Linked DNA regions of Ovis aries. The protein of the gene in region 1 purifies or fractionates together with the protein of each later gene. This does not show direct contact. Links are inferred from orthologs where the notes say so. Each region holds a gene or a part of one and is shown in the gene's direction. Other genes may lie near its edges.

The links.
Region 2: the proteins of RMDN3 (region 1) and VAPB purify together in Homo sapiens (affinity purification with mass spectrometry; 4 studies listed by BioGRID and IntAct, counting the BioPlex papers as one, with this or other methods). This does not show direct contact. The link is inferred for Ovis aries from reciprocal best matches to the Homo sapiens genes RMDN3 and VAPB.

The regions. Positions count from the first base shown.
Region 1 is NC_056060.1:34,496,545-34,499,597, reverse strand, and holds the end of RMDN3 (regulator of microtubule dynamics protein 3), read left to right. Parts: exon of another isoform or gene 1-290; coding exon 291-366; exon of another isoform or gene 367-529; coding exon 530-607; exon of another isoform or gene 608-836; coding exon 837-935; exon of another isoform or gene 936-1,209; coding exon 1,210-1,476; exon of another isoform or gene 1,477-1,777; coding exon 1,778-1,831; 3' UTR 1,832-2,486; downstream 2,487-3,053.
Region 2 is NC_056066.1:57,609,220-57,613,038, reverse strand, and holds part of VAPB (vesicle-associated membrane protein-associated protein B/C), read left to right. Parts: intron 1-106; coding exon 107-187; intron 188-1,969; coding exon 1,970-2,146; intron 2,147-3,819. UniProt on the Homo sapiens protein: Endoplasmic reticulum (ER)-anchored protein that mediates the formation of contact sites between the ER and endosomes via interaction with FFAT motif-containing proteins such as STARD3 or WDR44.

The DNA.
Region 1 (3,053 bases):
TTTTATGACAGCTATGGCTATACTGATCATGAGGGGACATTTGGATTGAGACCTTGTCTAAATTTTAAGTATAAAAGAGCCTATCTTTTTTGTACCCAGTGTACTTTGGGGAACTGTGAACCTACCACTGTATCTGCTAAAGAATATGAATTGGGACCATAGGTCTGTGAAAAGAGGAATTATGTACAGATGAAGTATTGGGCAGTGCCATCGGCCATGGGTGGGAAGCCCCTTCCTGGCAGGGATGGTCCTCAGTCCTGTGCCTGAGCCTGCCGCTGCTTCCCCCCTAGGTATGCAGTGCTTTGTGGTCAGCTGGCTGAGCATGAGGGCATCCAGAGGCGCATCCAGAGTGGCTTTAGCTTCAAGGTGAGAAAGGCTTCTCTTCCTTCCCTGGTGCTGGTCTAGTGCAGGTGACCTGCTCCAGCCTAGCTCTTTGCAAAGGTGTTCCTACCCTATAGCTCTGTGACTTGCCTTTCTTCCCTTAGTAACTCTGCTTTCTGATGTTAACTTGTTTATATTTCCACTCTAGGAACATGTGGACAAAGCCATTGCTCTCAAGCCAGAAAACCCCATGGCTCACTTTCTCCTCGGCAGGTGGTGCTACCAGGTGAGCTAGATTTCAGGGCTTGACACAAGGGCCCCTCCTGAGACACTGATCACCTTGCAGGGAAGATCAGGGTCCTCAACATGGTCTGGCTTGTGTCACTGCCTCCAAACAGTCATGGTAGTGGTGATTAGATGCAGTCCTATTTGGCTCCTTTTTCTCTCAGTAAAGAATATTCATTGTTCTTAAAGATACTTAAGTTTTTAGTTACACCTTGATCTTTTGATGGCAGGTCTCTCACCTGAGCTGGCTAGAAAAAAAAACCGCGACAGCCTTGAGTGAAAGCCCCCTTGGTGCTACTGTGCAGGATGCCCTCTCAAGCTTCCTAAAGGTATCAGGGAGGGAAGGGAAGGGTGGACAGCAGCCAGAAAGGCCAGGGTGACCTTGTTTTCCCTAAGGACATTAGTATATTGGGAGGGGTTTCTGGTAGAGGGCAGTTTTATGTGTGCCCATTCTGTGGAAGATTAGAAACCACTGGAAGGGCTTATTAAAAAAAAATGTAGACTCACTGAATCAATCTCCAGGTTGGATACTGGAACTCTAATAAACTTTAGCCTGACTTGGATTTCGGAACCTCTTACTGAAATGCATTCTCTGTTCTCTAGGCTGAAGAACTACAGCCAGGATTTTCCAAAGCAGGAAGGATATATATTTGTAAGGTAAACTCATCTGCCAGTTTCAACATAGATGAAATATATGCATGTTGCCATTTTTTCTTGAAAGCATACACTCATTCCCTTCTAGTCTTCTGGTGGTATTTCTCCGAGGTTTTCACTGTTGTCTCTTCTCAGTGCTACAAAGAACTAGGGAAAAACCCTGAAGCTAAACAGTGGATGAAGCTGGCCCTGGAGCTGCCAAATGTCACTAAAGAGGTAATACTTAAGAGCTTTTCAAACACAGGGTCCTTTCACTGAGTCATCACGGGACTTTTCAGGAAAGAATATATTCCCGTGGTTCCTATTTCCCTCCAAAAGAGAGCTGCACTTTGCATGTGGGCTTGTTCATATACATCTCACCTGGGGAGGAGACAGTTCGTAGGTTCCAGGTTGTCCTGGGAAGGTGGGAAAAAGACTGGTAATAGCAAGGAAGCAAAGGGCCCATTCCCAGGTACCCATGGTTTAGGAAATGTTGGCTTGGATTTAAAGTCCTAGTCTTATTCTCTTGTCTTCCTAGGATTCAGCTTTCCAGAAGGACCTGGAAGAATTGGAAGTAATTTTAGCAGAATAATCACATTTCAATGGGCTTCATGATTCGAGGAAGGAAAAAAATTAAGTCTTTTCCCCTTAGGTCCTGCTTAGATCAGGAAACTGAGCAAGACTGCTTAAGGGCGTCTGACTGCTGCTTGCTACAATTCCCCAATTTCTTCCTACTGGTTAATTTATTCTAATCCCTTACCTAATCTGAAATTGGGGAAGTACTTGAGACCTGGGTTTCTATTACTTTTTCCATAAAGTGAGTTCTCAAAAAATCAAGACTAGTATACACCTGCCCTAGGGTAGAGTGTGGATAAAACACTGAAGGCTGCTTTTCAACTGCTGCTGAGGTGGATGAACTCCAAAGAGCTATAGGAACAAAACAGAATGTGTACGCTCTAATCTTTTTCACTGATTAATATTCAGAACCAAAGTGTATAGTCCTAAGATCACACACCCCAACCTACCAGGGCGGAAGATCGGGGAGTCCATGGGTATTGCCTCTGCTCAGTCTATCATGTGGATCGTAACTGTACTCCTGGGCTGAGGGCTGGACCACCTGACTTCCAGAGTCCTGGCAGCTTTTGAAATAGCACTGCATAAGGCTTAGGACTGAAAATGATGATCTGAAGAGTTGCCTGGAATATATTTTGGTACAAACTTGAAATAAATCCAAAATTTAAACTTAACTAGAAGTGATTATAATTCCCTTTCTATGTTTGTTTTCATCTCCTTTTTCTTTCTTGGGACTTAAATAATTGTTTCCTACTGTGAGGCTATTGCAGACAAGTAGAAAAATAGTACCAAATAGTTTAGAATAAGCTCTTTGGTTAAAAATTGAGACAAGTTTTTAGGTCAAGGTCACTTAAAGTACTTTATAGGTCTAAAAGATTGAGATGCTTTCATATAAGAACCAAGCTTTCATTCCAGAGTCTGTCACTGGGTTTATTACATCATTCCAGGTTTGTTTTGTGATGGAAAAAAATGGAAGAAGACTTAGGAGGCACTCTGGTCTATAGTCAGGGAACAACTGTTTTAAAACAAAGTTGCATTAAATTTTGTCCTCCTATCTCCTTACATATAGTAGGCTCAAAAGAGGCAACAGCCGAGATTTGCACGGCCTCTCCACCCAGTTCTAGCCAAGAGGCCCTCTGAAAGTGGAAGAGTTGCTTAAAGCTCATGCTGAGGAGAAGTGAAGGGGAAGGAGTATCTCAAAGCCCTAAAAAGCAGAATAATCTGGGCAAGTACCAGATTTA
Region 2 (3,819 bases), on another chromosome or scaffold:
GGGCTTTCTCATTAAGCGTATTTTTCTGAAATTGTCAGTTATAGGAAGAAAATCATTCTTCTAGCAGCTTTATAATATCCTGATTATTGAATTTAAATTGTTTTAGTGGAAGGAGGCAAAACCGGAAGACCTTATGGATTCAAAACTTAGATGTGTGTTTGAATTGCCAGCAGAAAATGATAAACCAGTAAGTATGTTTATAGTTAACAATAATTGAATGTTGCAAGCTGATACTTATTTGCATACCATCTCCTGCAAAACCAAGATTTAAGTTGGCAAATTATTTTCCTTCTTCTGATGTATGAAGAGAAAAATTCGCTGAAGTCAACAAATAAGTGGGCCTTTGTGAAATCTGCCTTTGAAAGATTCACAGAAAGAACTCATTGAAATTTTTTTTGCCTTTGAAAAGCACAACCTGTTGACTGTTGAAATGTCATAAATTCCGAAGAGCTTCTTTGACTTGGGCAAAGTTCTAGGTTGCTATTATATTTAACAGTGGGAAAGACGGTGAGCGCTCAGCTCCTCTTGTACAGTGCTGTCTGCAGGCTTCCCTGTCTGCATTTCTCCTGAGCACCAACTCTCCACCTCTTGAACCCCAGATTCTCTTCAGTCAAAATGTGCTTTTAGATGAGGATTTCTCACCCTTAGCCCTGCTGACTTTCGGGCCAGGAGTCCTTCGCTATGGTGCTGTCCTGTGCCTTGCAGGGTGTGTTGTGGCATCCTTGACCTCACCCCAGTAGCATCCCTGGTCGTGATGACCTGAAGCGTCTCTGGATGTTGCCAGGTATGCCCTTCCCGAGGCAGAGTCAGTTCCCGTTGAGAATCACCCTTTTTGCTGCCTGAGCACTGAGGGTAAGGAGTGACTCCCTCCCAGCTGCTGGCTCACTTTTCTCTGTGTGAAACCAAAGCATGAGCCCGGTTGGCATGAACCTCCCTTCACCCTAGTCAAAAAACTTAAACTGTGTTAACACAGTTTAAAACCCATGCAGAGTATTAAACCACCCTGGCTGTTAATAGCTGGTGGTGGGAATAGAAATGTTCAAACTCTCAACGTTATCCATAACAATCTCCAGGAATGCTGATGCTTTGTGTCAAAACTACTTAGCATTTTTTTTCTGCTCACTAATGGACCACCGTCACTATCCCATTTCTTCGAATGATTGGTGGTCTTCGTTCCTTTTTTCCCTTCCCTCTTCCCACAGCATGTTCTGTCAGTTGTGGATAGTTGAGGACTGTATTCTGGCCCCAGCTGTGCTCTTGGAGGTTAGCTCTGTGTGTTGAGGTCTTGCTTGCCAGGGCCTCACTCCTCTCCCCTGGGAGACTAAGGGTAGAGCTCGCTGTTCTCCGTTTGCTGCATGGACCCCCAAGGGCTTCCATGCTTCCCCGGCCCCCACATACTCACTCATCCCCAGTAGGTCTTCAGAGGGGATCACAGCGCAGTCGTGGCTGGGGAAGTGAGGAACACATTGCCTCCCCAGGATGAAATACCATAGACACTGAATTTGTTGCACCTTCATCCCATCGCTGCAGTTGTCTTAAGTTCAGGAGACAAATCACCCTCTGGGTTACGTCCCCTCTGGCCTTCTGCCCCCGCCCAGCCAGTTTGGGGGATGTTCGCGTCTTCATAGTGACTTGTGGCTGATGATTCCTGAGCTTGTGCAGCTATGCTCTGCTGATTTTTCATGGCAGGAATTTGATAGTGCAGTGCGCACAGCCCCTTTTCTCTTTCTTTGAAGTATTAGTCTCAGCCGGACTTCATTATTTGCCCTCATCCATAATTTCTGGAGCCCAGTTTTAGATTATGAAGATACTAGGTGATAAAGTGATCTGTTTTAAAAAAATGTGACATTGTACAGTTTGGATGAAACGCTACCCTGGGTGGTGTCTGCTGAGACCTACTTTACTTTGCATGAAGAAGTCCTTTAATACGTGGTTGGTGACACTTGGGCTTTCATTTATTTCTGAACAGCATGATGTAGAAATAAATAAAATTATACCCACAACTACATCAAAGACAGAAACACCAACGGTGTCTAAAGCTCTGAGTTCCTCCTTGGATGACACTGAAGTTAAGAAGGTGATGGAAGAGTGTAAGAGGCTGCAGAGCGAAGTCCAGAGGCTGCGGGAGGAGAACAAGCAGTTCAAGGTAATGGCATTTTGTTTCCTGATCGTCTTCAGGGAATTGGGGCTTTGCTACTATGGTCTTGGGTGAGGAGGTTGATGCAATTTGTGGAGTTGTCTTGTATTTGCACGTTTTTCCTCCAGGCTGAAGTTTCCTAAGGTTCTCAAAACAATCCCTGGACACATGCCTACGTGCATCCCAAAGTAAGAACCAGTGTCCCTTGAGCAGTATTTTTTCAACTATTTAAACTCCTGTCTCCTCATAAAATGACAACAGACAAATAAAAAATCCATTAGTGTAAATTGAAATTAAAAAAACAACAATGGTTATCTTGAGTTCACATTTTCAAGCCCCTTTTCCATCCCCATTGGATGAGAATCTTTTTGAAGAGAGTAAAGACTGACGTGTATTCTGTTTTAAGGCAATCATCATTCTGATTTTTGAATATCCTAAATAGGTCTAGCAGTGGGGTCTCATCCTCTATCAGTATGGTCCGGAGACTGGAGCTGGGATGCTGTCACATCCATGGGGGAGATTACAGGGAACCAGGGGCTCCAGCTTGTGGCCCTGGACCTGGCGAGTGGCCTGGCGCTGGGGGGTGAGGTCGCACTGGTGCTGGAGCGAGGCAGGTGTGCTCCTCTTGGCTTTGGAGGCCTGCGGTAGTGTGGAAATGACCAGCCAAACTTGGACTCACTGTGTAACTTTGTCCATCACAGCGGCTTCTGGCCTCTGTTTGCAAGACCCTGTTAAGGCCCTTCCAGTGTTGAAAGTATGCCTTTCATACACAGGGTTAAAGAGAGTGTTTCTGAACATCTGATTGTAGGATCTTTTGTTGCAGCTTAAGTCTTGAGGCTGATCTGTTCTTTTCATCTTGATCATGTCCCCAGCCACCATAGACTGTCACTCCCTGACTGCGTAGCACCAGGTACACACCATAAATTCACTGCAGGTGACTCTTCCTTCTGTTACTCTGATGAGGTAGGAGACATGGGGGGCCAACGGGGTTTAGAAAGTGGCATCCTTGTCTTTCTCTGCAGTAATCATGCTTTGCCTCATTCAGTGACTGCTGTTGGTATGGAGTAAATTATGAGGCTGACACTCTACTTTTGGCTAAAAGTCTAAGATACGCCTAAAGCTTCTTCTTGAATGTATTTCTCTTCTTTGCCATTTAAAGTGATAAATAGGTGGAAATAGCTTCTATATAAACCCAATAAAATAAATGCTGTACTTTGCTGTGCCCATTTTTTTTTTTTTTGAAGTTAATCGAATAGCACCAGTCATTTATCAGCATGCAGCAATATTGGCCATGCCCCTCAAGCAAAGTGTCTTTAAAATATTATCAGACCAGTCTTGACATTAGAAGATTCTTTATCTTGCCAAACAAGGATTTCTTGTTTTGTGTTGTTTCATACTTTCATTTGGCCACACATTTGCTAAGACCCTCCTGTGTGCCCAGCACTGTGGGATACAGACGTGGGTGGTCCCTGCCCTTAAAATAAGCCCCAGGGTAGCCGGGGAGACACAAATACTGAACCAGTCCCACAGAGGTGGCCATGAGTGTTGTGAGGGGTGGGCTTAAGGTGCTGGCTGCCTCTTGTCATCAGATCTGTCAGACACTTGATTAGTGTGAACGAACTGAAGGAGAAGAGAAGAAAGTGCAGCTGTTGTGGAGGGTGTCAGGGGTGGATTGAGGGTAA